3 linked regions of the Notamacropus eugenii genome follow. The protein of the gene in region 3 interacts with the protein of the main gene of each other region in a pairwise test. Links are inferred from orthologs where the notes say so. Each region holds a gene or a part of one and is shown on either strand. Other genes may lie near its edges. The genes, in order: KLF3, RD3 and EHMT2.

Region 1 (10,809 bases), on a different chromosome or scaffold from region 3:
AAAATGCTTTATATCTATTATCTCAACCATACTTTGGGGCAGTGGTATCGTTTATTCTCATTTTACAGATGAGAAAACTGAGGCTAAGAATTCAAGTGACATACAGGCAGGATTTGAACTCAGAGCTTCCTGCCTTCCTGCTTTCCATCAACTTGGCTGCCAAGCATTTAACTGACACAAGATTGGAAACAAAAATATGTACATAAGGAGTACACATTAAAAGATGTTTGGATAGATTGTTGAACAAAAGTTGATTACATCATGATTGTTAGATCCCTAAATAAAGCAAATCCAAAATCATCATGAGAAAGAAAACATACTGAAAAGGACTGAAATGGGGTGGGGAATGGGCTTGGTTGGGGAAGGGGAAGCAGGGTGTCCATGGGAAATGAAGATGGGAAGTCATAGGTACTCTTAAAACTGGCCCTGCTATTTAGAGATTCTGAGAAGCAAAAAAGAATGACAACAAATTAAGTACATCCTCAATTCAGAAATTTAGCTCTGAAGGACCTTAACACCCATGAAGACTGTCCGCAAGCTAAAAGGCAATTTCTCAGTTCACAGGCGTAGGTACTCTTCTGTCTTACATTTAATCATCAGATCCTGGTGAAAGGCCAAAGACGGAGAAATGGACCTTGTGCTCAAGCAAGTATATTTCTGCTTCTTGAAAAGAAGGAACTTAGAGCTTTTTCTATCGTGGTTTGCATTTTCCCTTTTTTTTTTTTAAAGAAGGCTTTAAAGTAAACACATTTTTATTTACAGAAAGTAGAGAAACCAGATTCAAAGGCAGTATGCTCTTTCCCCCTCCCTCTCCCTAGGTACATGGTCGGGGGGGCTTCGGAAGGTTTAGGGCAGGTAAAAAGCCACTTTGCAAATTTCTGTACTGTGTGGCACACATAAGAGATACTCAAACAGTATTTATTATCTTTCCTAGGAAGTGAAGTCAGCAGTCCAAAGGAGTCCACTCCCTCTCTCATTAAGCAGGGTGGGGTAGGGTGGAGGTCAGAGGGGAAAAGGAGGGAAAGAAAAGGCGTGGCTACTGCCACTTTTGTGCATATGTTCCTTTGTCTCTATACCTCAAGCCTCTTAGCCAGTGTATTCTTGGGTACTCTAGGACAAAAGTCCAGATGTTTGGAGGACCTACTGGATAGCTGAATGTAAGGAAGGTAGGCTACCCCTCGCAAACATGATCATGAATGCCTGTCTGTGTCTGTAAGGATAATAGGTTGCAAACTAAGATTATATTTAATTTAGCACTTTATTATATGCTATTTTATTCAATTGTTCCCTAATTGTTTCATGTGTTCAAGCCTTGTCTTTTCAGCAAGATGGTAAGGTCCTTGAGGGCAAGGGTTGTACCAAAAGCTCCTCTTTTATCCTTTCCCCCTCCCCCATGGCCATCAGACACTTTATAAACTTTCAATTCAATTAAATCCAACCATTTGTTAATTAAATTCCTAATATGTGCAACACAATGTGTCCTTAAGCCCTGGGATACCAAGGCAGAAATCGAAGCTTTCTTAAAGAGTTTACTTGGAAGACAGAGCAGTCACACACAGAAGTAAATACAAAATAATTTGGCCTCAACCTACTGTCATTATTCTGCTTTTATTTAGTTAGACAACTTACCTTTCTCTAAATATGCTTCATTATTTCCTCTTCTACTACTATAGCTTAGCTAGCTCACAGTACTCCACCCCTACTCCCTTTTCCACTTCTCTCTGCTTGTCCAAGTTCTATCCATCCTTCGAAGCTTACCTCCAGTCTTCTCTATGAAGTTCATCCAAGTCCACGTGAGCTTTCCTCTTCTAGAACTCTTTTAACTTTGATTAGCCCTATCACTCATATACTGCCTTGTGCAAAGGTCATAGGATCTAGCTTTAAATCTCCAAGAGCCCTTGGCTGTTTTCTTGTTGGCCCATCTAGATTGGAAGCACCTTGATGGTAGGTACTATGACTTCTATTTCTTTTATTTCCATACTACCTTGGATGGGGTAGGTGCTAAATAAATATTCATTGATGAATCATTCATTCATATCCAGCTGTCAGTCTCCAAGTTCCCCCTCTTTCCCTACTTGAATCTCACCTCCACCTTTTCTGCATCACACACTCACACTCAACACACTTAGCCCCAAATCAGGAACAAAGAAGGTACTTAATAACTGCCTGTTTATTGCTTCTGGCCTGTTCATCCATACGAACAATAGAAAAGAGATTTTTATAGATAAAAGTTTCCAACTCTAAACCTACCCTGAACTAATCTAGTAAGTAAATACACACCACAAATAAACTCCATCAGTCTAACAAAGTCACCGGTATTCAATGGACTTGAGCTAATTTTCAATAGTATTTAATACCCACATTTACACAGCACTTTGCCTTTTATAAAGTGGTTTGCTTTTAATCCTGTGAGTTAGGCAAAATATTAGAGTAAATATTACCAAGTTCGTTGTATAGATGAGGAAATTGGGGATTAAGAAAGGTAAGACTTGCCCTAAACTACTTAATGACTAGACCCCAAATTTTCTGAGTCAAGTTTACAGGTTTGTAAATCAATTGCAAGCATTTCTGTAGGAACTTGGTTTTTACTTTGGATTTGTCTTGTACCCAACCCAAATACTCCTAATTTAAGTTTTAAATGTCATAGGCATATTTCAAAGATATGAGTTATAGAGGCAGACTTCAGAAGTATATGTACAAATCTCTACCATGCTACAACACTGTGACTCAGTTGTTTTTGTGTCTCCAGGTAAAATTTTTATATGTACAAGATACTTATAAAATTTCACTACGTTTAGATAACCCTCTACTCTTAGAATAGGACCTCTAGGACTAGGTTTATAATATATTTCTGCTTATTATGTAGTATGGGGCCTAGAGGAAGGAGCAAAATAAGGGTGAACTTAGAGGCCTTTTAAAACATCTTGAATCAATAAAAAGCCCTAGATGGAAGCAGGGGTGTTTTCAAATATTACACAGCACTAAAACAATTGAACCAATTTGTCCTTTGTTCTTTTTATTGCATTCTTTATTACGCTAATACTGCTTTAAAAGAAAATCCAAAGGCATTAAATACACAAGCAAGCCACTGTCCAGGCCCTGACTCCAAATAAAGCAGAGCAGGATCCGCAGCCATCCCTGGCATACACATGGTGTAGCAAGCCGAATAAAGTACACGCAGAGCCTGGTCCCTTCCCACTGGAACGGCATGGGTGGAAAAGCAGCCCCTCAGCCCCACCCCACCAAACTCACACGCGTCCGACTTTGAGATGGGGACGCACCTGAACCACTTTGGGAAAGTTTTCAGGCAAGTGTGTAGCAAGAAGAAACAAGGTAACTGATCAGCCGGCCCAGGACTTTTACCTCGGGCTCCAGAGCCCCGCTCCGAGATGCTTGGCCTGAGGCTTTGCAAGCTCGGGAGGTCGGTGGGGGAGGGGAGACGAGGAGGCTGCAGGACGGGGACTCCGCGGCCGCGCCCATCCCCCACCCTTCCTCATTCTCCGGGACGGAGCGGAGTTTTCCCAGAGCCCCGGAGCACAAAGGAGCCCGCTGGCAAACAGGATGTTGTATGAACCTGAAACTCCGGGCTTTCCTTAGATTGGGTTCGTCCCCCCCTCCCCCCGCCACCGTCCCTTCCACGTGCATTTTCCTCCATCCACGCGCCCACCCCCCGGGCTTTTGATAGTTTTTTAATTTCATTTGACGTCCGGAGGATCCCGAGGCGCGGCCCCATCGGCCCTCCGGGCGGGCAGCGCAGGATCCATCCCTGCGGGTCCCACCACCTCGGGGGCGGGGGGAGCCGGCAGAGGCCGCGGCCGCCCCGCCACGCCTCGGAGCGGGCAGCACCGCCCTTCCTTCCCCTCGGGCCCTGGGCGGTGCGGCAGCGGCAGGTTGGGGAGGCGGGGTGGGGCGCGGAGGGGAGAGGGAGGGGATCCTCGGAGCGCCGGGCCGGACGCACGCCTAATGCCCCGCGGCCCCCGGCGGCGGCGCAGGGAAGGGCGAGCTCGGCATGCGGGGCGGAACCCCGGCTCCGGATAATAACGAGTGTCTGTAAGTCTGTCCCTGGGTGACTGCGAAGGGGGAGGAGGAGAGGGCGGGGCGGCGGGAGGGGGAGGGGAGGGCGGGGCGGCGGGGAGGGGCGGAGGGAGTCCGTGCGTGTTTGTGTGAGTGACTCGTCCGACCCCTCTCGGCCGCCGCGCCGCTGCCTCCACCCTAGTGGGTGGGGACCCCGCCCCGCCCTGCCCGGGCTGCGGCGGCGGCTCCCTCTCTCTCCCCCTCCCTGACCCTCCCACCCGAGGTCCCAGCCTCTACTTACCCGGCCAGCCCTGGGAGGCTCGCAGAGCGAGCGGCGCCGGCGTCATGTGACGGCCCCGGACTTGGTGCCAGGAGCCTGGAGACTGAGCGCGGCGGGGAGAGCGAGCGAGCGAGCAGCGGGAGCCGAGCACGTAGCGCGCCGAGCCGGGAGCCGGAGCCGGGAGCTGCAGCCGCAGCCGGGCAGCAGGGCAGCAGGGCAGCCGGGCAGCCGGAGCCGGGAGGCGGCCACCTCCATCCGCCCGGACACGGGGCCCGCCGCCCCCCGCGCCCTCCCTCCCGACCCCGCTCTCTCCCCCCTCCTCCCCCTCCCCATCCTTGGCGGCCGCGCGTGGTCGCGGGACTTTTCCGCTGACACTGTTGCATTTGGGGGATTAAAGGAAACCCTGATCCCGGGCTTTTATTTCCTGCCTGCTGCGCTCAGCACCGCGGCGCTCCAAGTAAGTTTTCCTGACGTTGTATATATATGCGAGATATGACGGTGGAGACAATACACCTCCGGACCGACCCTCGGAGCTGCGCTCGCCGCTCTCGCGCATCCCCCCTCCGTGGACGTGTCGGGATAGAGGGAGTCGGTGTTGGGGGGGTAGAAAGTGCAACTGATAATGGCCCCGGAGGGGGAGGCCGGGGCCCCGGGTGTCGTGGTCGAACGTGTGGGATGGATGAGAGCCCGTGCGGATCCGGGGTTTGCCCCGCCGCGGGGTGCGCGAAGAAGCGGAGGTGCCGGACTTGCGGCGAGGGACCGGGCTTATGGGGGGCGGATGGAAGGAGACGGAGGAGGGAGGCCGGCTGCTACACCTGCGTGGTCTGTAACTGTCTCCCCCTCGTAGAAATCTGTGAGTTGCAACCTTGTTTCAAGGAAGGTGGACTGGACGCACGCGAACGCGGGCCCCCTCCCCCACCCCCGCTCCCTCCCCTCCCCCTCCCCCGCCGGCTCGGTCCGCGTCGGAAGTTTTCCTCGGGGCTTCGCTGCGGCTCCGGCGGAGCCCGGGAGGAGCTGGGGGGGAGGGGGGGACTCTGCCGCACTGTCACTGGACACGGAACCGGGAGGCCTGGGGGTGGTGCGGGGGGGCAGGGGCTGATCCGGCCCCTCCTCGGGAAGGGGGGAGACGCTGGGATGTTGTCGGCATTGCCCCCCGGGCTGCGTGCCCCGCCGCCGCCTCGCCTGCTGCCTGGACGCTCAGCCCGGTGCCCTGGGGGAGCCCGCTAGTCCTAGAAAGTGCCCCCTCCGATTTCGGGGACTGCATTCCTGCGTGTGCGCGGCCGTCGGGCTGATAGCAGGGCATTTAGGAGAGAAACGCCCCCCCTCCTTGTAGGACAGGGAAAATGGGGTTTGTCTTTGCCATCCCACTTCAGGTTTGTGTTCCTAAATCCTAGGACCCCTTCGCTTCGGTCGGGAAATGAGCAGGAGACTCGGCTGGCGAAGACCGGGCTCCCTCCCAGGGGTCTGGCTGCGGATGGGGGCCTCGGGAGCGGCAGCCGCGGCTCCGGCCGTCGGGTCCTGCGGGCACCTCGGGGTGGCTGCGGGGTGTTCTCGGCACGCCCTGGACCGCCCCCTTTCCTTTAATTTCGGTGAGGAGTGTAAAGAGGTCCTCGCCGCGTGCGTCCTGCGTTATCCGAGGATGGGGTGGCTGCTCCCAACAGGTTTTTCCACAGAGTAGCTGGGAGTGAGGAACATCTGGACTTGATAACCTGCCTGCCTTACCCCTAAGGAGGATTTGGGGGTGGGGGAGGCTTCAGTCTGAAACCACTGAAACATCGAGAACTGTGGGGAGCTCGGCTCAGTCGTTTGGGGGGCAACAGGGGATTTTGAAAAGAGGTTTCTTGAGTTGAAACAATACTGACTTTAGCTGTTGTAAAAATCTTCGTTTTTTTTATTCTCTTGAATTTTGTGGATACCCAGTTTATTCATCCTCAAAGCTAGGAGGCTTTTATTCGGCAAAATATTTGTACATCAAATGTGTTCTGTAGTGTGGTCCATGAAGATGTATTTGTACAACGTAAGTCATTTCGTATGTTTGACTTTTTGTTTGATTAAAGGAAAACAAGTATAAAAAAAGGGAGATGAGCTCCAGATATTGGGGCAAGTAGCAAAATAGCTATAGCTATCTGTGTAGAGATGTGTCTACTTTATTTGTAATTTGGAAAGTTTCTAAATCCAGATCAATGCTTGTGGTTACTATGGTCACAGTGATGCCATTTTTTTTTTTTTACTTTTTCGTTATCTCTCCATACATGGCTTCCTAAATATCTAACTAAAGGAAGCAGAGTCTGACATTTCTAAGAGGCAGCAAAGGAATAATTTAAGTAAAGAAAGGTAATAAGGGTGGAGGGGTCACATAGTTAAAAGTTTTTTAAAATTGTTTTTCCATTAACAAATTTAGTATCATCTAATAAATTACATAACGTCTTTACTAATGAAATCTCAAGTAGATGTGTGAGTTTATGTGACAATACAGTGAAATTTAGGAGTATTCTGAGTTTCCTACCTTTTTTGCTTTGGCAGTTCAGAACCATGAATGAATGAATGAATGAACCTGATTTGATGAGTATTTTAGTAACTGTGATCCCATTGTGTTCAGAGTAATGCTGGGAATGGATATATAATCTGTGTTCTTCACTGATTTGTTCAGTCTTCCACGTCTTCTACCCCCCAAAAAAACAAACAGACCAACCTGTTTTGAGCCATAATTTTAAACATAATGGGCTACCCAATTCAAAAAATGGGTACCACTTGCTACTTGCTCCTTGAGATAGGAGAAAGGGACAAAAGAAATCGGGAGGGAAGGCTGGTGTTATGATGGGCTCTCCTGTCTGAATGTTCACTTCTGATGTTTACTGTATGTGGTTGCTTATATTTGTAAATAGGGTAGGTCCCGCGTATAGGCCGGTGTTGTTATTCACACCCTTCGAACAAACACCTCCACCCCCTGTTGTTTTAAAAACTCCAGCTGCTCATGAATATAGGGTCAGGGAGGGCCGGCTAAATGTTTCTCTGTGCTTTCTCTCCAGCACAGCTAGCAGAGCTGTTTCCTGTTCTTTGTTTCAAGGCTGGGGTTTGCGTCATACATTCCTAGTGGCATATGTGTGCTCTTTCCTGTTTCAGGCTGTTTTCTGGTAGATCAGTAGCCCAGACCAGGCCCCTTGTCCCTGCCCCTTAACTCCCAATCCCCACCCAGGGAGTTATCATGTCTCCACACACTCATGATTGCTTAAGATGCCTGTATTATGTCATAATGAGAAGTCAGTTAACCTTTTTACACACACACCCCTTTACTTCACTGTGTTTATGTGTGTGGATTAATTTTCCATTTTTATTTCAATCCCAAATTATGATTTTTGATGCATATGCACTATTGGGAGGTATCTGAGGGTTTTTTTGTTTTGTTTTCTCTTAGGGGTGGTTTTTGTTTTTATTCTGCCCTGAAGGATACCACTTCTGGATTAGGATTAACCATAGATAAATTTTGTGCAGATGATGGAGGGAAGACTCATCTGGAAAAGATGGTCTACTTTTTTCAGTTTTGACACAAGACACTTCAGACATAGGTGGTTACTCTTTAATTGGAGGATTCAAGTGCTCTTGGCCATCTTGAATTCTCTGCTTGCATTTTGAAGAACACATTTTTTTTTTATTATTGCATTGTGTGAATGACCAAGGTGCATTTTTTAAGGGGACATCAAGTTTTTTATTATTCTCGGTCTGACTTGAGAAAAGGATTAAAAATGAAAAAATGAGAAGGAAAGGAGACCTGGAAATAGGGAAACTTATGATGCTTTGGAACTCTTGGGTCCTTTAAAGAACTTCATCAGGGGAATTTTGCTGTTTGGATCATTGACCACTTTTATGTATCATTCCATGGATTGCTATAAGTTTTTTTTTTTTTTCTGTATACTATTTGCTGTTCAGCATTTTAGTTTAACTTTTTAAAAAAGTGAACATTTATAAGTTACTTTTCTCTTAGCTCTACAGAAACTAATTTTTAAGGAAAAGTTTTAGAAGAAAAATAATTTAATTTTTGTTAAGTTTTTATGACTTGATCTTCAGTGGGTTTTAAGTTTTCTTTCAGTAGGAGAGAATCATAGAATGAGATTAGATCCTTCTGTGTAATAGTATTCATCCGTAAAGTTTTATAGAAAATAATTTTATATAATTTGTGTTCAGTATCAGAAAAATCTCATGTGACAAATCTAGGAGTCTGCTTTTGAACAGCACAGTTTCCGCCTCATCTTCACTTTATGACTTAAATGGTAAGAAAGCTGTGGAACCTAGTATGTTAAGTAAAAGGTAAGCTTTCCTTTAGCAGAAGATGTGATTTTGGAAAGGGGCTAAAATTGTGCTTTCTTTTGGGGAGAGGGAAAGCAAACTTTTTAGAGATTAAGCCTTGCTTTGGGCAGTGTGAGCCCTTAAAAATCCGAAACTTTTGTGTTTTCATTCTGAAGCTGCTTGCTTCCAGTCCAAAATATGGTATTTGGCAGACATGCTTTCAGACAGAAGTTTTAACTCTTCCTGAATTTTCTTTCATCATTGTTTCCCTTTGGGGTATCTAATAATGATCCTTGGCTTCAGAGGCAACATGACAGATAACCAGAAGGATAAAACTTTAGCAAACTTCTAAATGATAAACTCAAAAATAATGGGGGGAAATTTTAGTGATGTCTGATACAGTCATTCTAATTACTAGCAAACATTGGTATGCTAGGGAAAGACAGCCTCATCTCTTGAGAAAATTCACATTTATTTAATCATTTTTCCATTCATCTTTGTTCTTCCTCATTGAAATCCCCTTGGATACTTATCTCCACCTTCTTTACCTCTCTAAATCCCCATCTTTCTATAAAATTAACAAGCTGGATTGTTTGTTCTTCAGCTTTCCTAGATGCTAACTTCATACCCTGTTGTCAGATCTATTCATGGGTGACCCAGTTTTGTTTGAGCAAGCGAAAAAGAAAAGAAAATTCTTCCTTAAAAACTAGGAAATGGCATTATTTTGGCATTTTTCTTTAAAGAGGGATTGAAATTGGCCCAGACTTTCAGCCCCTTTATTTCCCAGGATTTCTTCCTTAAAACTTAAGGCCTGGTTTATTTATCTACGTGATTCCATACCAAATTAATTTTAAAGTCATGTGCATGAGAGGATTATTAGACTCTTCAGCATACTTGTTTTTAGAAGTCTGATCTGTTCACTTCACTAGACTTTGTTTCTCCTCTCCAGTGCAGAGACAGGAAACCAGACAGCAGTCTGCCCTGATAAGGCAGGGTATTGTCTAAGGGAGGTAGCCACTGCTTTTTTCCTCTTCCATTCTCCTCCTTCCTTGGAGTCTAGTGGTTATTAAAATAAAGGAGACACAGTGCTGTGCAAATCTAGGATTCTGAATCAAAAGTCTGGATGACCTCTATATACCTCTCTATATAAGAATGTATTGATTTTTAACCAGTCTTATATAAACTCTGGAAAATGTGACATTTCTGTGCAGTTTTGAAGTTATTATATACTTACAGCTTAGGTGACATTTTTTAGTCTCAGAATAAACTGGTATTTAAAAAACACAAAACAAGATGGGGAAGCTTTTTCCCTCCTTATTTGCTTATCTCAAGCAAAGTACTGCCCCATTTTTCCATTTTTTTCCTTCTCCATCTTTTATAATCATCTCTCCCACCTCCAAAGAAAAAGAAAGAGTGAGAGACAGACAGTAGTAAAATGTAGTAAATTAATTGAGCATTAAACCATTTACATGCTTGAGGCTGGCCCATTCCAGCCAAATCCCTGGGTCCAGGCCAGAATTAGAGAGAGGGGAATGTGAATCAGCCTCGTCTTCTGGAAGATCTAGAGGGACCTAGGTCGGTTCTGAGACCCCCTTGAAATTGCTGACAATCTTTGGCAGGCCTGAGATGTCCTTGGGGATGACCAGGGGCCAGTCTAGACCTAAAACTGAGGAATTTAGCCAGAACCAGACTGACCTCAGAACATCAGTGAGTCAAACAGTCATTTAGCTCAGGACATTCAACTCAAAAAAGGGCTGCCTGTAAATAAAGGGTTTTTTTTTCCTCTTCCTGCTCCTATTCTTTATTCTTTTTCCCAACTACTGTTCTTTGAGCTTAATCACCTAACTCAGTCCCCTTATCTGTTTCAGTATTTTGCATCCTGGCACTCCCCTAAGCTTCTTTCCAATACCACTTTGTGAAAACATTCTTAAAAGTGAAGGCCATCGGTTATCTAATCTAGAGGATCAGTTTTTCTCTCACTTTGTTCCTGTTAATTGTTTAGGATAATTTTAGCAATTAGTAATAATTATTAAATAAAGTTCTAATTTTAATCATTTTAGGGTATATTGCAAAAGCTTTCTTCCCCAAGTAAAAAGGAATATAGGCTTAATGATACCCTTTATGACCAGATTGGGGGTGGAGGGAGTCTTATTTTGAGGTTCCTTTCGTTCAGTAGCGATCTCTTATACACCTATTATGTGTAAGCTTGAGATGTGTGAAGTTCTTCATGT
Region 2 (10,400 bases), about 340 Mb from region 3:
GATAGTGTACTTATAAAATGTTCAGGTGACAGAAAAGGGAGGGATAGATACTACACCACATGGTCCTGCTCCTCATTGAAATTATATCAAGGTCTATGACTTAGCTTAGCCCCCTCTTATCCCTGAACAGGCAGGAAGAGATAATGGGGAAATTTTGGAGTAGATGGAGCTCAGTATCTGGAGCTCAATGAACCAGACTATTGGCTTGTAACATCGGTATTCTAAAAACACTGAGCACTTTGACTTTGGAGGACCTCATTACTACAAATCACCACATCTTCCCTTGCTGTGTAGACACATTTCTAGATGGAGGTGAGGGGCTTGCATCAACCTGAACTAAATGTTGTACCTTTGTTGAGTATCCTTTCTATGCCATGACTAAGTAAACCTCCTTCTGTCAATAGTTAGATAAACTGATGGATGGATGGATGGATGGATGGATAGACAGACAGGCAGGCAGACAAACAGACAGACAGACAGACAGACAGACAGACAGACAGACAGACAGACAGATAGATAGATAGATAGATAGATAGATAGATAGATAGATAGATAGATAGATAGATAGATGATAGGGTACTCAGGAGTTTTATGGAATAGCTTATGGCCCTCAAGTCAGAAGTTGGACAACTCTGAGCTAGAAAATGCACAGGACTGAATTCAGATTGGGAAACTCAAGAATAAATCATGTAGTTCAGTCATTTCAGTTATGCCTGACTCTTTATGACCTCATTTGGGATTTTCTTGGCAGAGCTTGGAAAAAACAGTATAAAATCTTACCGAAGAAAATAACTCCTTGATAATCAGAATTAGCTAAATGGAAGCTACTGACTCCATGAAACCTCAAGAGATAATAAAACAAAGTTAAAAGTCTGAAAAATGGTAAAAAAAAAAATGAACTGTTTCATAGGAAAAACAACTGACCCTGAAAACAGATCAAGGAGAGATAATTTAAGAATCATTGGATTATCTGAGAAATGTGAACAAAAGAGTCTAGGCATGATATTTCACAAAATCCAAAAAGAAAACTGCTCAGTTACAGGTATATATAGATATAGATATATATACCCATGTATAGGTGTATTTGTGTGTATTTATATATACCTACATATACATACACATACACACACACACACACACACACACACACACATATATATATATATATATATATATATATACATAAACCCACATCTGTACATATCTATATATTGATGTATGTGCTTACATACACCCTTGTCAATTCCTATTTGAGGGTTGTTTTCTCCTTTAGTCTCTGTGACTTCATTCTCTGTCAAATATACATACCTATTAGATAGAACATGGATAAAATAAATATATTATAGATCTAGATCATAGATAAGTATCTATCTATGTAGATAGATATCTCTGAAATATAACTACATATCATATATATCTGATATACATCTATAAACATCTTGTTCATGCATATTATTAATTTACATCACTCAGTGCACCTCATAGAATTAATTAACCATGGCACTGGACAAATTATTTAACCTCCACGAGCCTCAGTTTCCTCAACTATCAAGTGAGGGAGGTAGATTAAATGGCCTCTGTGGCCCCTTCCAGCTCTGTCTTTCAAGCCTATGAGTTTAAAACCTCTCCTTTGTTAGTTCTCTTATTGTTTGACATTCAGTGGACTCTGTGTATACATATGGTGAACTAGAAAGAAAAGCTTTTGCTTCTCTTCAGCTAAAAACTGCATGTGATCTTAGATCGCACTAAGAGAAGCATCGTGTCCAGAACAAGGCACTGATGACCCCACTTGCTGTAAGAATCATGGAACTACAGCTGGGAAAGTCCTCAAAGGACATCTCGTCCAACTCCCTCATTTTATAGGTGAGGAAAGTGCTCTGCCCTGGTCAGATCAGATCTGGAGCATCATGTTCAACTTTGGCCAAACCATTTTTAGGAAAAGCACAGATAAGTAGGAAATTAGCTAAAAAGGTGAAAGGCCTCAAGTCCATGCCCTAGGAGGATAGTCTGATAGAAGGAGGGATGTTTAGCTTGGAGAAACAGGGCTTAGGAGGGACACAGCAGTCATCTTCAAGTATTTAAAAGTTTATCATGTGAAAAAGAGACTAGATTTGTCGGTCTTGGTTCCAGAAAGGCAGATTAAGAGCGATAGGTAGAAAGTGTAAAGAAGCGGATGTAGTCTTGAGGTAAAGAAAATTAGATGTCACCCTCATAACTCTAGGGACTTTGTCACAACTCCCAACTATATTGATCAGTTAGATCCTCCCGAGTAAAGCTACATTTCCCTGTAAGGGTCTAGGGATATATTTCCCTCCAAGGGTCTAAGGATACCTCTGACCGTTGATGAGATTCTCTCATGCTTTCAACTCAAGCCCCTATTCCAGTGTGTTCTTCCTAATATCAAATGCTAATTATCTCTTCAATATAATCTAACCCAGGTCCATTTAAAAATCTCCTCAATCTACTGATGCAATTGATTAATATTCCAGTATCATTTAACCAAACACAATTAATTAGCTTTTTCAAAGGGATATATCCAAAGAAGATGCAGAAAGCAGTATAAAATATCTCTTCATGCCCTCCCTCAACCCTCAGGTGCATACTTTTCCCACACTCCCTTTGTCTCTGTGGAGGGAGGCTCAGTTGCTGTAAAGCATTCACCCCCACCAAATTCACTTCTGAATGAGTTATAGCCAAAGAAAAATTTGTCTCATTTTTACTGCCTTTGTTGCACTGCTGTCAATCAATTACTGAGCATGTATTAAGTGTCAACCATGTGCCAGGCACTGTGTTAAGTGCTGGGGATATGAAAAGAGGTAAAAGTCCCTGTCCCCAAGGAGCTTACAGTCTAGTCATAAAAAATCTAATTGACCCACTGCTATATTGGATCAAGCAGGTGACTCACGTTTTTACTCCCCATTGGACAATCTCCTCCACGTTCAAAGCTCACAAGATCAAAGCCTAGTCCATTCCATCTCTGATCCTCCCTCACTTAAGGGAGGAAGAAATAAACAAAACAGCACAGAAGCAGGGGTGTGCTAACAAATAATTAACAACTGATTCTCTGAAAAAAATGTATACATGACATACTTGGAAGTTTAATCTACACTAGCAACATTTTAATCACTTCCTTAAGTCTAAACAATCACCAAAACAATAAATCAAGCCTTGATTTATAGTGTTTGCCAATTTCTGAAGGATAGATGACCACAATGAAAATTCAACAAGCGGTTTTCTCTAGCAGGCATGAGCTAGACCACATATATCCCTGGTTGGTAGCAACAACAGGGCCATATGTGTAGCCATGTCTTCATGTTGACCAGGTGGAACAGGAGGACAGAAAGTAGGCCACTGGAGTAATTATTGCCTCTTCACTCAAAAAAATATTCTGAAATGGAATGGGCTATTTCAGGAGGTAGTGGTTGCCACCTCACTGGGGGTGGCAGAAACTGGATGGTCATTTGTCAAGGATATTTTAGGAGGGACCTCGTTGAGGTAAAAAGAATAATGGCTTCTATTTCTGAGATTCTGTGACTCCTGAGAGTGAACAGTTCATTTTTTACTGAGGAAATAAAATATTGGGATTCTGAGGAAGAAATATGAGAAAGTGACCAAGGTGAGGGGGGTCTATGCAAATATGGACACCCAAGTAGGGTCTAAAGATTATAAATTCGGAGCTGGAAGGGACCTCAGAAGTCTTCCTATTTTACAGATTCAAACAAACAATCCAAGACCCAGAGAGATGAAGTGATTTGCCTAAATTCACATAAGAAGTAAGACAGAACCAGAAGTGAACCCAGGTCTTTTGTCTCCAAGTGCAATGGCTTAGCATCCTTAGGCAAAGTAGATGTTGCTTTGTATCAAAACAGCTTTTCTTAAAATCTTCTCTTCCTCCCAGATGATTTGGGGAGAAGCGGCCCATAAAGATGTTTCTATCCTTTCTGCAATGCTGACATCTGGCTAAAGGCTGCTCTCTCCCTTTATCTCCCTCCCTCTGCTGCCCCTCCTTCTCTCTCATAATTCTTTAAATCTTACCACCCTCCCCCTTCTCCATCTCTCCCTTCTTCTCACTATCTAACTTCACATCACCAATTTATTCATCAAACACCATCTGTGCAGTGGTGTTTGGGCCCCATTTGTGTCTCTGCAGTGGATTCATTGTAGAATATTTAACCACAGATCAGCGATTTTCATTGATGCCTACTGGGGAGTGAAGAACCCAACTTCCTCTCCCAGTACAAATTCTCACTTAGTTAGGGTAATCACAAAGCCCCCTGCAGGCAAATTAATCAAAAATAAATTTGCCATCACTGCAGACATTAAATCCTCACTGAACAACTGTTCAGAGAAGACTGGACCAAAAACAGGGAATATCTAAGAGTGACTCTTTCCCCTCTCCGCTGAAGGGTCCTCAAAAATTGGGGACTGGGAAAAAGGAGAGGGTTGAGATTTTCATTGTTCTCCGGAGCCTTGCCCTTAGACTTATGCCATCAATCAGTTCCATTTTAGGAGTATGGGGGTCAGCTGAGTTTATCAATCAATACAGGAATTTAACTGTTTCTGTGCCTGTTTCCATTATATTCCCAGGAAAAATCATAGAGTCACATTCTACCTTGGAGTGAAAACTTTCCTTCTGGTAGCTTAAAACAATATGATTCATCAATTTATTCTCACAGTATCTATAGAGGGAAAGAGGGATAGTGCTTGTTGACTGGTTGATCTTTTGTTGATCTTTTCTCGGAAGGAACAAGAGGAGACATGTGACCTTTTTGTTGTTGTTTCAGTCAAGTCCAAGTCTTTGTGACTCCTTTTGGGGTTTTCTTGGCAAAGATACCAGAGTGATTAGCCCTTTCCTTCTCCAACTCATTTTACAGATGCGGAAACTAAGGCAAACAGGGTTAAGTGACTTGCCCAGGGTAACACAGCTAGTAAGTCTATGAGGTAAGATTTGAACTCAGGAAGGTGAGTCTTAATGACTCCAGGTCTGGCACTCTATCCACTGCCCCACCTAGCTGCCTCCCTCTAGTTACCATCAAATAAGGAGGAACATTCGGGGCTTGACAATGATGGATTTAGTTAGGACCCTAAAGGTGATTGAGGCCAGAAGGAACTAAAGAATGCAGTCTAGAAACAGGCTTAAGAATCCCCAAATGCAGACCTTTGCTTATTACCTACAAATTATTCTTTGTGGCTAGGTGGCTTTAGTGGGTAGAGTACCTGGCCTGGAGTTGGGAAGACTCATATTTTTGAGTTTAGACACTCACTAGTTGTGTGACCTTGAGCAAGTCATTTAACCCTGTTTGCCTCAGTTTCCACATTGTAAAATAAGCTGGAGAGAAGGAAATAGCAAACCACTCAGGTATCTTTGCAAAAAAAAACCAAAAAACCCCAAACGAGGTCACAAAGAGATGGGCATAATTGAAACGATTGAACAGCAACACTCTTTGAGGGGACAACAGTTGTCCCACCAGTAGGGAAGGGGTTGTTCCAAGACTGATCCTCCTTTCCCTGCCTTACTTGTTTTTTCTGTTCTGTCTCAGACCTTCTCAGACCCCTGCCTCAGTTAGCCTCTTCCTCCCCATCCCCCTGGATTATGCTTCTCAAAGCTAAGTAGGCTTAGGTGAGTCTCCATGGTAACTGAGCATCACAAGCTGGGATGTGGCCAACCGTTCATCAGGGAGAAACTGTGAGTCAAACCTCCCAGGACTCTTCTAGAGAACAGGAACCAGACAATCAGACAGACAGACTAAGAAACAGCCACAGCCGTGCTCCCTGGGACCTTCTACCTATTCTATTTTGTTTTTCCTCTTCAAGAGGAGGGAGAAGGACAGAAAGGTAGAGGAAGCAGCAGCCGGCAGGAGCAGAGAGGAAAGGAAGAAGCTTAGTTAAAAGATTAATTCACTCCTGCCCTGCCTCTCCTCCCCTTCCCCCCATACGCTCATTCATCCTTGCCTACCATTTCATGGCTTCACAATACCTTCTTGCCTTTCTTTGAAAGGATCTGACAATCCCCTCTTCACAACTGGAGGCAGAAAGTGGTACACTCTCTCTGCCCAGAAGGTGCCAGTTATTTCAATCAACTTTGGAAATTCAGGTAAGAAGTCTGCCCACTTAGACATCTGTGCCTAAAGAAACACTTTGGGCAATCAGAGTAGAATAACTGTGGAGGGGGGACAAAAGTTAATGCCTCATTTGATCCAACTGTGGGGCAGGCTTCAGGTACCAGGCACTAATTTCTTAGTCACCTTCCTCTCTTCTAGACACTGGTTCCTCCTGGGTGATATGTTTGATGAGAGCTGGGAGAGAGCAATTTAGTTGGGTAGACCTGTCAATAATTCTCTAAATACAGGCTGGGAATATGACCCAGGTAAACTTTAGCAAAAATGTTCATTTTGATTAATTTCAGAGATTTGCTGGACCCAGCTCCAATAAACTCTCTAGAGCAGACTGTTAAATTTTCAGAATGAGCATTTACACCTTAGAAATTGGCAAATGCTGCAAGTCAAGGGCTTAATTTCTTGTTTTGTTGAAATTATTAATAACACAGCTTAAACTTAAAAGTGTGTCTGGCAGACATTTTTCCATAAAGAGTCAGTTGTTAAACATTTGCCACAACATTACTGATTTAATTCAAGTACTTGACTAGGAACCCTGAATCATGTGTCATTGAAATTGTATCGAATCAGATTTTTGTCATTCAGGGCCAGCAAAGCCAGATTGGTGGTTATCCAATATCCCCAGTTGTCCTCTTTCTTGGCTCTCCCAGAGATGGGCTAGACAAAGAGAAAGGAGAAGAGGTAACTAAGAGTCACAGTGAATACAGTGCTAGACTTGGAGTCAGAGAGACCTAAGTTTAAATCCTGCCTCAGACATTTACTAGCCATGGCACTCTGGGAAAGTCACTCTCTCAGTCTCAGTTTCCTTATTTGTAAACTTGATGGCCTACTGAGATCTCTTCCAGCTTTAAATCTATGACCTTATGAAAAGAGACTCACATTGGTTCTTGTGAGCTGCTTGGGTCAAAGTTTGTGGATGAAGGGTGAGGCAAAGAGACATAAATTGGGATATTTTATGGATTTCAGCTCTGCATGTTCTTGTCCAGTTCCCTGGGACTATTATAAAGCCACAATATGGTTACTTTATATTTGCATTGAAGATCAGGGTGCTTTGAGAGGTATTAAGTCCAGGGGTGTTCTGGGATCCAACTGTAGTCAGTAGTTGGAAAGTTTGAGTGGTAACTCTAGGTCATAGAGAGAGCTTGTTTGTATTTCACAAGGGTCCCAATGTGGCATCCCCTCTAATCCAAACCAGTAAACATTTTTTCAAATGCCTACTATGTGCAAGGCACTTTTCTTCTAGTTGATAATACAAAGACCAAAAAGATAAAAGGCCCCCTTTATGAAGAAGTTTATCCTCTCCAAGATTATATTTCTGTGGCAGCCACTCCATCTACCTGGTAACACTATTGCTGCGGGTAGACAAAGACTGTCTGCAATGAATTATACATGTCTCCTGGCTTAGTGATCAATCTTTCTGAGGCTCTTTTCTTTTTTATGATAAGGCAAAAGACATCTCCTACTCCAAAACCCTTTCAACGAGTGGTCACTTTTCTTCACCCAAAGGTGTCTATGAGCTTTGGTGACAACAGGAGCATGAGGAGGACAGATCATGCCCTTTTTAGTGACTATTGGAAAGGTGTCTTCTCAGCCCACCTCCCTACATTAAAAAATAAATCAGCAGAGACTCGTTCATGAAGTTTAGGTCAAAGAATCAGTCCATACTTTGTACTCAATGCAGAACCCTGTCCTAGGCAAAAAGGGTTTATACAGAAGTAGAAAGAGCCATTGGGAATTCCATTGTGGAGTTCCCATCTAATGGAAGAGATAAAGAATAATAACGGTGATAATAATGCACATTTGGAGAGCCTTTTAAGGTCACCAAGCCCTTTCTTCATGAGAACCAAGTATTCTTATCTTCATTTTACAGAAAAGAAAACTGAGGCACTGAGAAAGGAAGTGAGTTTCCTATGTTCACAGAATTGGTGTCAGAGTTGAGATTTGAACCTGAATCTAAATCCAGGACTCTTCTCTAGATCATACCTGGCTTCCAATGCCTTGACAAATGTCAAAGTCTAGCTTTCTTGCTTACACATCAGTGTTGATAAAGGGGAAGAAGAAAGGATTGATCTTAATGTGATCTAGCCACATTTGCAAAAAGAAAAGGTTATTTACAGCTCTGGTCTGTACTTCTGGCCCAGGCTGCTACCTAATAAAGGTGAATTCTTGGTCCCAAGGAGGGCGGGCCATGGCCATGGGTAACTCTGTATGATCTGTAACCAAGACCAGCTGAAAAAGTCGAAGGGCGTGCCTTGTTGAAAGTGTCAGGAGCACCCTTCTTTATGCACTAAGGATTAAACTTTGCTATTATTGCCCTCGCTGTGATTTCCCTCATTCCCTGCCCTGACTTTTAATAATCCTGTAACCGAAGAGAAATGAAAACACTAAAATTCCTTCTTGCCCTTGAGGCACGTCTCTGATTTTTCTAACCTATTTAATGAGCCACAGCTGGTAGCATTGTCTCTTGGGTTTCATGAAGTGAAGGAGCCATCCTTCTCCTCAGAGATATTTAAAAACAAGCAGAACAGAAGGTACAGTGTGTGAGGGAAGGTACAGGCAATGGAAAATGAAGTACGGAAGGGAACAAACAGAATGGAAGGGAAGACAGAAGGGAGCAGGGGATAGAAAGAGAGAAGGGAAGGGAGGAGGAAGATGAGATGTAGAGGAAAGATGTCTGGATCTGGAGCAAGAGGACCTTGACTTGAATCCTGACTATGCCACTTGGGAAGTGTATGACTTTGGGCAAGTTGCTTATTCTTCCTGTGCCTCAATTGTTCTGTTTGTAAAATGAGGGAGTTGAACAAGACTGGAAGACCTCAGAAGATTGTCTTAGCCCTAAATCCTTGATGTCATGAATGGAACTGGAGGCATGGCCTATGAAAGAAGGAGCATCCTTTCATGGATAATAGAAAAAAAACAATCTCAGTAGGTTTTTTTTCCCTCCACCATTCCCACATAATCTATCCATTTGCTAGGAAAACCGCCAAGGAACCAAATGAAGTTCCTCCTCAACCACAGATTCCCAGGGCCTCCATGACTTTTGAAAGTGTTGTAAGAAGCATGAGGGTCAGCCAAGGAGAGAGGTTAGACTCATTGACCCGGCAGGGAATTATAAATCCTGCTTCAAACACTTATTCTTTGTGGGGCTCTGGACAAATCATTTAGCCTCTCTCTGACTCAGTTGTAAATTTCCTCAGTTGTAAAATGGGAATAATAATAGCTTCTACCTCACAGGATTGTTGTGAGGATCAAATAAGATATTTGTAAAATCCTTAGCATAGTTCCTGGCACATAATAGGTACTTTACAAATGTTCTCCTCCCTCCAAAAAAAAAGTTACAGTCAAGGACAGGCAATGTGACACAGGCACAGAAGAGTGGTATGGCTCACCTTTGGTGCTAATATTTTTCACTTTATAAAGGGAAAAAACTTCTTTTAATATAACTTCTTTGTATTTATACTGTATCTTGGGGACATCCCCATTTCCATTGAAGACAGCACCATTCTTTCAGTCACCCAGATTTGCAGCCTCAGAATCATCTTCAGCTCCTAAATTACCCTCTTCTCACCCCCATATCCAACCAGTTGCCAAGTCTTTCATTTCTTCTTCCACTTCATTGCTCAACATTCCTTTCTCTCCACAAACACAATCATCACCCTAGTTCAGACTGTCATCTCTTCTTACCTGCTCCAGTGCAATAGCCACCTGTTTGTCTTTCTATAAACAATCTTTTCCTCCTCCAATAATACTTCACACAGTTGCTAATGTGTTCCTAAGTCATGAATCTGATCATGTCACTAAATAAATTTCAGTCCCTTCTCATTGCCTCTAGAGCAAATAGAACCTCTTCTCGAGAGTCCTTTATGATCTTCCTCTAACCTACCTTTTATTATATATATCACTCCCTTTCACACATCCCATGGTTCAGACAAACTGGCTTCATCATTCCTCACATAAGTTCCTCTGTATATTTTCATGAGACTGTCTCTGATCTCTGGAATACCAGTCCTCCTAATCTCTTCTACTTAGAACCAGACAATTCAAATAGAAATGGGGGTCCCTAAAATGTAGGAAAGGATTCCTACAGTCTGCACATTAGCTTAGAAAACCACATGTTAACATTATCTATGTTTTATTGTATTTTTATTTTGTTAATTATTTTCCAATTCCACTTTAATTTGGTTCAGACCACACTTGTGTTATATGCCACATTCAGGTCATGGACCATGTGTTTGACACCTCTCTCTTAGAACCCCTGATTTCATTCAAAATTCAACTCAAATG
Region 3 (10,655 bases):
TCATGGACATTGGCTCTAGACTTTCTATTTTAAAATAAATTCTTTATTATATGGGATAGCTTCCTGGGAGGGGGGAAAAGAGGGCTACAAGGGGAAATTTGGGTCATAAAAAAAATCAATAAAATTTATTTTTAAAAAGAGAGAAACCTAGAAGACCATCTCTGCCAACTCCCCTCAATTTTCCAAACCGAAGTGCGGGGAAGTGAATTGACTGTCAAAGGTTACACAGGCACCAAGGAGCCAAGATTTAAGCTTTCGTCCTTTAACTTTAAATTCATTGAGTTTTTTTTAATACGTTGTTTAATTTTACTGAACAATCTGTTTCTTCCTTTCCCCTTTGTTTTAAAAAATGTCTGTTTGGGAGGGATGGGGGAGGGTTACGTTAGGAAATGTAGCTGATGTAAAAACAAAATATATCAATAAAACTTTATTTAAAAAAATAAGACATTGGAGTCTCACCTCTGATGCCTGTGTGACTTTGGGCGAGTCACTTAAAATTCCTGGAGCTTCCGTTTCCCCATCTATAAAAAGAGGGACTTGGAATGGAAGACTCAGGTCCCTTCCAGTTCTAGGTGATTCATCCACCCTGGATGTTTTGGCGGGCAACCAACTCTTTTTTTTTCCTCCAAAGGCTGGGAAAAGAGTAATCCGATCAATACTAGGATATTGGAAAGGGTGCGACCATCATCCGCCCCAGCGTAATGCCCCGGGAATGACTCACTGAATTAAAACTCCCTTCTCCCTTCCCTCCAGCCTGCCTCTTTTTAATTGGTATCCTTTATACTTTGCTGTGCTGGCAGAAAGTAGGCGCCTAATGGTCACTATTTTTGTTCTTGTACGGTCGTGGCCGACTCTTCATGACCAAACTTTGCTATTTCCTTCTCCAGTGAATCCGTGTCACCCGGCATGTCACCAGAAGTTTGCTCAGGGTCACACAGGCTCCCAGTGTCTGAGGCTGTTTTTGAACTCGGGTCTCCCCGACTCCAGGCCCGGGGTTTTATACGCCTCTCTTTTATTTTAAACAAATACTTTTTCATTCATGCAGGCATTCAAGGCTCAGCTTAGACGCCAACTCCCAGAAAGGGCCTCTCCTGATTTTCCCAATAGTTCTCTCCCTCCTCAAAATACGCGGAGTTAATCCGTGTACGTGTACGTGTTCTACGGCCACCCTGTCCCATCCCTCTGGTGTGGCTGAGAAAGGAGGGAGAACCTACTCCCGTATTCCCCACTGGGTGTAAGTCCTAGGAATACGGCTCGCTTTGTCTTTGTTCAGTTCCTAGCACGCTGCCTGCCACACGGAGTCTTGATACACTTTTTTCACTTGGCCTCAAAGCCACGCCCCCTATTCCTCACGACTGGATCCCGGGAAGGTAGCTCTCTCCGGAAAGGGGGAGCATAGGGATCCGCGCGACCCAAGCCCCGTACTACCCGGGCGCGAGACCAGCACGCATGCGCAGCCCCATTCCTGAACGAAGTGCGGGCGTAAGAAAGCAAGCGGGGGGGGGGGGGGGGAGGGGGACGACGGGGGACGTATTTCCGCTCCGACAGACAAATAGTACTGGCCAAAGGGGGGTAAAGGCTACTCCTGGACCCTTTAACTTAGTGGAAACGGCGGGAAAAAGTGGGGAGGTATCGCACCCTTTAATTACACACACCCCACACTCTTCTCCCCCCCCCCATTTCCCTCCCCCCTTCCTCCTGGAGCCGCCGCCGCCGCAGTAGACGAAGCCGCGCACGCTGAGTCCAAGCCGCCTGGCACGAGCCTCCCCCACCCCGCCCACGCCGAGCCGGAGTCGCGCGCCAGACCGCGCGCAAGGGCGCGCACGTCCCTGCGCCTGCGCGTCACCCAGGCCTGCCAGTGCGTGGTGGGTGCCGCCGGCCCCCGGGGGGGCGGGGAAATTAAAGAAAAAAAAACTGCTCGTGGAACCGATCCAGGTGAGAGGCGAGCTTGCTGATGGGGTCTAGGGGTTCAGGGGGACAAGTTCTGCGGAGCAACTGGGCCCCGAGGGTTGGGGGGCAGGGGAGTAACGTGCTGGGGTGGGGATGGGGGGGCGTGCGCGGCACGTACGGGTGGGGGGTGCCGGGAACGGGCGCGTGTAAACGTGCCCAGGGAGGCGGGGAAAGGGCGAGCGTGCCCCTGACAAGGGAACCCTCAAATCCCTGCCCCTCCCCCCTACACACCTCTCAAGCACACCTCCCCCCTCTCTTGTCTGGGCCCCCAGTTCGTGGGTAGGATGCTTGGGGGAAGAAAGTATGCGACCTCCGCCCCTCGTGGGACTTCGAGTTCCCTCCCCTCCCCCTGGGATGGGACGGAGCCCAAACTGAGGGGTAGGGGGTGGTCTGGAGAAGAAAGTAGCTTGCCTCTGCCCCCGGGGAGCGGGAAAGAGGTGAGAGTAGGGGGCCGAGGCTTGGGGAAGGGGGAAAGACCGGCTTCCTAACTAATTTGCCCTCCACCAAACACAGGGAACTCCCCCAGCCCACCCAGTACCATGGCCTCTGGAGTGGAAGTCTTGCGATTCCAGCTCCCAGGACATGAGGCTGCTACCCTTCGAAACATGAACCAGCTTCGGGCAGAAGAGCGCTTCTGCGATGTCACCATTGTGGCCGACAGCCTCAAGTTCCGGGGCCACAAGGTTATCTTGGCAGCTTGCTCCCCATTTCTTCGTGACCAGTTTCTCCTCAATCCCAGTTCAGAGCTGCAGGTCTCGCTAATGCACAGTGCCAGAATCGTGGCAGACCTCCTCCTCTCCTGCTATACAGGTGCTCTGGAGTTTGCTGTCCGGGACATTGTCAACTACCTGACTGCTGCCTCTTATCTCCAAATGGAGCACGTGGTAGAAAAATGTAGAAATGCCCTGAGCCAATTCATTGAACCCAAGATTGGCCTAAAAGAGGATGGAGTCAGTGGAGGGATTGGATTGACTGGGCTCAGCTCCACCAAGTCACTCCTCCCACCCGCTCGAACCCCTAAACCAGCTCCCAAACCCCCACCACCACCTCCTCCACCTCCTCTTCTCCGACCAGTGAAGCTAGAATTTCCCCTCGATGAGGATCTTGAGCTAAAGGCAGAAGAAGAAGAAGAGGATGAAGATGAGGATGTATCAGATATCTGCATTGTCAAGGTGGAATCAGCATTGGAAGTGGCACAGAGGCTTAAGCCCCCTGGAGGCATTGGGGGGAGCCTTGGGCTTGGAGGGAGCCTTGGGCTTGGGGGGAACCTTAACCTTGGAGGGGGTCTTGGCCTTGGAGGGAGTAGCGGACTCCTCATCAATGAAGTTGGAGAAACTATTGATGCCCCTGATGATAGCACAGCACCCCAGGGAGTGGTGAAGGCCTGCTATAGCCTTACAGAAGATGCGGAAGGGGAGGGTCTGTTGCTGTTTCCTGGAGGTCAAGTAGGGGAGGGCATTACCCTTGGGCTGGGAGATGAAGCCCTAGCTGCAGCCACTATGTCCCGGAGCAGTGGAGTTAGTGGGAGTTATGGGGGCATGAGGAGTCCTATACCAGGGGGCTCCCCAGTGGGAAACCCACTGAAGAACATCAAGTGTACCAAGTGCCCAGAAGTATTTCAGGGTGTGGAAAAACTTGTGTTCCATATGAGAGCCCAGCACTTCATCTTTATGTGCCCTCGATGTGGGAAGCAGTTCAATCATAGCAGCAACCTCAACCGTCACATGAACGTTCACCGAGGTGTCAAGTCACACTCCTGTGGTATTTGTGGCAAATGCTTTACACAGAAGTCTACTCTACACGACCACCTCAACCTTCACTCTGGGGCTCGACCCTACCGTTGTTCTTACTGTGATGTGCGATTTGCCCATAAACCTGCCATTCGTCGACACCTCAAGGAGCAGCATGGCAAGACCACAGCAGAGAATGTCCTTGATGCCAGTGTGTCAGAGCTCAATGCCCTCCTCCACTAGCTGGAGGAAGGATAACTAGGGGAAGGGGTGAGGTGAGATTGCTGGTAGAGGGGGGTGATGAAAGATTCTCTCTCCAAAAGGGGAGGAAGTTTGAAGGGGAAGGGGGCTTTTCTGTTTCCAGGAGAGTTAACATACATCTTGGGGTTAAAGGCAGAGGTCTTAACAAAAGAACAGCTCAGGTCTTCCTCTGAGAATAAGAAGGGGTTAAAAGACCTTGCTGAGGAGATTAACTAACCATTCCTTGGGATGATGAGGAAAGAAATGGTTCCTGTTTTCTAGGATAAAAGGGCCCAGGAAGAGGGATGGCTCTTTTCTGGAATAAGTAGATAATTGAGGTGAGGATGGTGTGCAGGGTGTAAGTAGTAAAAAGGGGAAATAGAAGATGGTTTTATCATTGGGTAAGAAAGCTATAGAGAAGACAACTCAGTTGAGGTAGGGTGGGTGGGAATTGGGAGGGTATCTTACCAAAGCTATACCTGTCCTTGGGTGGTAATAGAACAGGGGAAACCTCTTAAATTCCTGGGAGAGCAACTATTATGAGGAAAAGGTTAACAAGTCCCAGGGAGAAAGGGTAGAGAATGTCTTTTTTTGCATGCGAGGGAGGAGGGAAGGGGACTGGGACGGGCTTTTGTCTCAGGAGACAAAAAGTGACAAATGGTTATAATATGAAAGAAAAAAGGAGAATGGAAGTAGACTAGAAAACAAATAGAGGCAAAATAAGAAAAGTCAGAAGTAGTAAGGGTTGGGGAGGGGATATGGGGAGAAAAGGAAAATACCTAGAAAAAGGCTCTTGGGGAGGGGAGGGAAAGGGTGTGGTAGAGACATAATGGTATTTTTTAAGGAAACAGACATATTTTTCAGGAGTTTTCTGGAATCTGAAGTCTCAGTTTCCGCTTTTCCACAAAATAAAAAAAAAATTCTTAACGTTTGTTGTCTGAGTCTGATACTTCCTTTTTCCATTCCCTAGTTTTCCATTCTGAGCATCCTGGTACCTTCAGCCAACAGCTCTTTCCTAAGAATACCCTGGCCTTCCATCTTCTGCTTCTGTTGAGTTTCCTGTGCCTGTCCAGTGTTTTTAGTCACCTCCTGGTCTCCTCACCATGTGGGCAAAAATCATGTAAACCCGTTTCAGCAGTACTTTTCAAAATTCTAAGTACTCTTCATTATGGTGAAGTCGGGCCATTGTCTTTCAGTCCCAGCTCTTGTCATTATCTAGCTATGAGAAGGGGCATCTGAGCCTATTGCTTCTACAAAGTGAGAGGATTAGACTACATCAGGGCGTTCTCAAATTGGGATGATGGTCTTGGATGGGGTAGAAATGTATTTGGGTTTTTTTCCCACTAAGCTCAAACAAACAGCATTTCCTTCAATTACGAATTTTAAAATTTTTTCTGGGAAGGGATCCATCAGCCTCACCAGTCTGCCAAAGGAGTGTCCATGACGCCCCCAAAAAGGTTAAGAACCCCCGAACTAGATGGACCCTGGGGCCCTTCTCCAATACTACTTCGAGTCTGCGAGTTGGCGGAAAACTTTAGAGGCGGCTCGCAGCTTGTGCAAACTACAGCTCCCAGGAGGCCTCAGAGGCGGCCCCGGGTGCCCAGTGCCAACCCACAGAGCCCGGGGCTGTGGAGTCCTCCGGGTTCGAGGGCTGTAGTACAGGCTGCTGAGGCGGGGCGTCCGTCTGTGCTGGGACCGCGGCGTCTGTTCTTCTGGTCGTGATGACATTAGCGAAGTTGTGATTGAATTAAGTTCTTGGAGAGATCCGTGGACGGCCGGGCGGGATTGGAGTGGTCTTTAACTAAGCCCTAATTACTCACAATAAGAGCCGGGAGTAAAAGCCCTAGGTAAAGGGGAAGAGCGTCTCGGAGTACCCCCATTCCCGCCTCCAGGAGCAAAGGCTTCTCTCCTGCTCCTGCCCGGACCGAGATCGGAGGCAGAGGCACGGTCCTTCCCCTTCCCGGGACACCCGGACCGGACGAACCGCGGCTCGGGAGTTATTGGGCAATAGACTCGCACCGCAGCGGCGGCCCCCGCCCCCAGTCCAGACACTCCGGCAGAGCGCCCGCGCTCGCCCCCCCATGGTGAAGGCTGGGGCGGCCAGATCGAAGTGGCCTCCGAAGCGCCCCCGCCAGCCCCATCCCGGGCATCCTCCGCAGCCCTCCGGGATCCTATCCCGGGAAAATGGCAATGGAATAGGCCACGGCTCCTTTAAGGGTTCTCTTCCTCCTCCCCCCTTTCACAACTCCCCCATCCCCCCCCGGCCCACGTGACCCGGGCGGCCGCGCGCCTCCTGGGCCCCCCGCGCGAGCGGCTATGGCGGCGGCGGCGGGAGCTGCAGCGGCGGCGGCCGCCGAGGTGCGGAAGGGGAGGGGGGGGAGGCGGGTGCATGCCCGCCCGCGCGCGCGCCCGGGGGAAGCGCGCACTCGTGCAATGCTCCGGGGGTGCAACGGGGCCGGGGGGCCCGAGCCGGGCTTGCAACAAGCCGGGGGGCCAGCGCCGGGGGCCGGGGAGGGGACCAGGGGATGGGAGGCGGGGGAAGCGGGCACGGAGGTGCGCGTGCAGCCGCTGGCCACCCCCGGATGGGCGGATGGAGCCGGGGTCCCAGGGGCACGCGCACGGGGTGCGCGGGGCAGGCCGCCAAGCTGGGGGGGAGTGGGTGCCGGGGGGGGTGTCGCGCGGGGCCCCCGCGGCTCCGGGGACAAAGGGGGAGCGTCTCGAGCACCCGGGAGGAGGGGGCGGGGCCGGGGCGCATTGGCCACGCCCCCTCCCCTCCTTTCTGCTCCCGGGATGCGGGGGCTACCAAGGGGGAGGGGGTCCCTTCGGACCCGGGGGAGAGGGCGAGGGCCACTTCCTGGGAGTCGCGGCAGAGGGCGAGGGGCAACCCATCGGGGCCGGGGACGGGGGCGAAGCCTGCTCTCTTCCGCCCGGACCCAGGCGTCCTGGGTTCCTCTGCCCCCAGCCGGGTTGACCAGTCCCCCTACCCCTTGTCTCCCCTCGCAGGGGGAGGCCCCTGGTGAGATGGGGGGGGCGCTGCTGCTGGAGAAAGAACCTCGGGGAACTGCAGAGAGAGGTAAGCATACAGTGTATACAGGATGTCTGCTCCCCAGCCCCCTCTTCTTCCCTGTTGTGAAAGCAGTCTGCTTCCCAATACCCTCTTCTTTTTCCTATCTGGAACAACCTGGCAGGATGGTAAGTTGCCCTTTCCCCTTAGATCTCTTCCTGAAAGGAATCATGTTCCCCAACTGTGTGTGTATATGTCTGTGTGTCTTGTGGGGATCTTGGTATTCATGACACCCCTCACTCCCCAACCTTTCTTTTTTCTTCTCAGGTCTTAGCTCCTCCTCAGGAGATAAGTCTCCTGGAGAGGAGACCCCACCCCAGGACCATCCCGAGTCTGTGGAACCCACTGGCCCCTCATCTCCTGCCTCAGTCACAGTGACTGTAGGAGATGAGGGTGCTGACACCCCAGTGGGGTCCACACCCCTCATTGGTGAAGAGCCAGAGAGTTCAGAGGGAGATGAGGGCATCCACAGTGGTAGGATGTTGTTAGGTAAGGATTTGGGAGAGCTTGAGGTTGGGGAATTCAGGGAGCAGGGAGAACTGGGCTCTCAGGTCATACCGTTTTCCCTCCTCTCTCTCCCAACCATGTTGTCCAGGCCATGCCACTAAGTCCTTTCCCTCGTCCCCCAGCAAAGGGGGCAGCACCTGCCCAAGCCGGGCGAAGATTACCATGACAGGGACCGGGAAATCACCTCCCTCAGTCCAGAGTTTAGCCATGCGGCTGTTGAGCATGCCTGGGGCACAAGGGGCTGGGGCTGGGCCTGAGCCTGCCCCTACCCCGACCCCTACCCCCACCCCCACCAGCCCTGAAGGGAAGCCCAAGGTCCACCGAGCTCGAAAAACCATGTCCAAACCAGGGAATGGACAGGTAAAGGGCATGTGCAGGGAAGGGAAGAGGTATATCTTGTAATAAGGAGCGGGAGTTGGGGGGAAGAGGGGAGTCTTATCTTCCTTTCTGTGTATTCCCTAGCCTCCAGTCCCTGAGAAACGCCCCCCTGAAGTTCAGCATTTTCGAATGAGTGATGATCTTCACTCAATGGGGGATATGGGAACAGGTATATCCTTCAACCATAGATAGATTCTAGCTTCTTTCTCGCCTATACCATTGGGACAACAGTTAACTTTGGTTTGGGGTATCAAAAATCTTGCTTAGGTTTGAAGAGAAAAACCTTACTTTATCTCTTCCAGACACTGCCAAAAGGAGGAAGCTGGACTTGGGAAGTGCAGGGTCCCACAAGAGAGGCTTGGTAAGGCTGCATCAGGGACTGGACCAAGGGGCAATAAGGGAGCTAAGAACAGAGTGCCAGCATCTTTGAGAGGAAAACAAGTACTAAAATGGAGTGGAAAGAGGAGAGAGGTGTGGAAATAGAATATTTTAGTTCCTTAGAGAAGAGATTTGCTAACAGGACAACTCAGCTGGAGTAAGGCTGGGGAGGGGAGAGGTACTGACTCTTGGGTGGTACAAGTCTCTAGTATTTAAAACACTAAGGTGCCTTTTTAAGTGCAAGGTACACAGGGTGATACAAAGAAGAAAGATAGTTTCTGCCATTTAGGAGATTTAACCATGTCTATCAATCAATCAACGTTTATTAAGCTCCTACTATATGTCAGGCCCTGTACTAAAAGCTGGGGATACAAAAAGAGGCAAAAGAAAGTCCTTGCCCTCAAGGATTTTATGGTCAGTGAGGGAGACAACATGTATACAAATATGAGTTATATACAGGAGAAATAGGAAATAATTAACTGGGGGAGGGCACTGGAATTAAGAGGGTTGGTTAAGACTTCTAGTAAAAGAGGGAATTTTAATTGGAACTTAAAGGAAACCAAAGGGGAGGTCTTTAGAGCGAATGATTGGCCTGGGGGACAGCCAGAGAAAATGCCCAGAGCCCACAGAAGGAGTGTCTTGTTTGTAGAACAACCAGGAGGCCAGTGTCACCGGATCAAAGAATATGTGTTTCAGATTAGGGTGTAAGAAGACTTACAAGAGCTTTGAATGCTAAACAGAACATTTTGTATTTGAACTTGGAGGCAGTAGGAAACCACTGGAGATTGTCAAGTTGGGGGGGGGGGGGTGACATTATCAGACCTGCGCTTTAGAAAAATCACATTAGTGGCTCAATAGAGGATGGATTGGAGGGGGGAGAAAGGCTTGAGGCAGGCTGACCCAGCAGTACGCTCTTGTAATTGTGTAGGCATGAGGTAATGAGGTCCTATATTATCATAGTAATAACTGTCAGAGAAGGGGCATATACAAGAGTTGTTGCAAAGGTGAAATTGACAAGGCTTGGCAACAGATTGGATACGGTAGAATGAGACATAGTAAGCAGTCCAGCTGACTCCTAGGTTGTGAGCCTGAGGGACTGGGAGGATGGTGTTGCCTTCTATAATAATAAGAAAGGGGAAAAGGGGGAAAGGTGGTTTGGGAGAAACGTAATGAGTTCCATTTTGAACATACTGATTTTAAGGTGTCTACTTGACATCCAGTTTGAAATGTCTGAAAGACAGTTGGAGATATGAGATTGGGCATCAGCAGAGAGATTGGGGCAGGAGAGGTAGATTTCAGAATGACATTGTTATAGAGATGGTAATTAAATTCATGGGAGTTAATTAGATCACCAGGTAAAGTAGTATATAGAAAGAAGAGGGGCCGGGGACAGAATCTTGAGGGAAACCCTAGAGTATGACATGGAAGTGGATCCAGATAGGTAGGATGAGAGCCAGGAAAACTTCAAGAGAAGAGAGTATCAAGGAGGAGAGAGTGATCAACATTGTCAAAGCCTGCAGGGAAGTCAAGGAGAATGAGGACAGCGAGCGAAAAGGCCATTGGATTTGGCAGCTAAGAGAAAGATGAAGTGAGGGTTTTTTCAGGATAGGAGAGAGATGGTATGTTTGTTATTAGTAGGGAAGGAGCCAGTAGTCAATGAGTGATTGAAGGGAAAGACTGAGGATGACAGAGGGGGACAGTCTGTTGTAAAGACACAGGATGGAATGGGATCACTTGAACAAGTAGAAGGGTTAACCTTGGTAAAGAGTAAAGGACCATTTCACCCAATGAGATAGGAGTGAAGGAGGAGAGAATGGTAGAAGAAATCTGAATGATGTCACTCCCCTACTTAGTAAACTCTTGTGGCTCCCTATTGCCTCTAGGATAAAATACATTCCTTTTAGTTTTTAACCGTTCATCATAACCTAACCCTAACCTGCCTTCACTAATGTGCAGTAAGGTTCCCTTTCCACACTCAGCTGACCTTTTCTCTTTTCCTCACATTTCACACTCCATCTCCTCACTTCGCTTTGTTCAGTTTCCTCCGCTTACAGAACTTCAAGATACAACTCAGTCACCACCTTCAGCTTTTCTGATTTTCCCAAATGCTAGTACCCTGTCTCTCAGATTGCCTTGTATTGTGTGTCTGCGTGTGTATGTGTGTACACATATCTCCTCCAGATAGAGTATAAATTCCTTTAGAGTACAGATTGTATCATTCTTTGTATTCTCAGTACCTAGCACAGTGCCTGGAACTTAGTAAGCACTTAGTAAATGCTTGTTGGTTGGTTGATTGATCCATCAACACACACACACGCACACACACACACACACACACACACACACATCATAAGATAGAAGTTGATAAAGCTAGAGGAGATATCTTGACAAAGTATCATTCTAGAAAC

The links.
Region 1: the proteins of EHMT2 (region 3) and KLF3 interact in binary tests that used the Homo sapiens proteins (3 or more experiments, as listed by UniProt). The two-hybrid records come from large-scale screens. The link is inferred for Notamacropus eugenii from reciprocal best matches to the Homo sapiens genes EHMT2 and KLF3.
Region 2: the proteins of EHMT2 (region 3) and RD3 interact in binary tests that used the Homo sapiens proteins (3 or more experiments, as listed by UniProt). The two-hybrid records come from large-scale screens. The link is inferred for Notamacropus eugenii from reciprocal best matches to the Homo sapiens genes EHMT2 and RD3.

The regions. Positions count from the first base shown.
Region 1 is NC_092877.1:92,692,852-92,703,660, forward strand, and holds the start of KLF3 (Krueppel-like factor 3), read left to right. Parts: upstream 1-6,357; 5' UTR 6,358-10,809. UniProt on the Homo sapiens protein: Binds to the CACCC box of erythroid cell-expressed genes. May play a role in hematopoiesis.
Region 2 is NC_092873.1:426,893,307-426,903,706, forward strand, and holds the start of RD3 (protein RD3), read left to right. Parts: upstream 1-5,641; 5' UTR 5,642-6,094; intron 6,095-10,400.
Region 3 is NC_092873.1:85,597,182-85,607,836, reverse strand, and holds the start of EHMT2 (histone-lysine N-methyltransferase EHMT2), read left to right. Parts: upstream 1-6,694; 5' UTR 6,695-6,710; coding exon 6,711-6,993; intron 6,994-7,251; coding exon 7,252-7,473; intron 7,474-7,579; coding exon 7,580-7,851; intron 7,852-7,953; coding exon 7,954-8,038; intron 8,039-8,171; coding exon 8,172-8,230; intron 8,231-10,655. Other genes in the region: ZBTB12 (zinc finger and BTB domain-containing protein 12), read left to right, coding at 2,490-3,923. UniProt on the Homo sapiens protein: Histone methyltransferase that specifically mono- and dimethylates 'Lys-9' of histone H3 (H3K9me1 and H3K9me2, respectively) in euchromatin.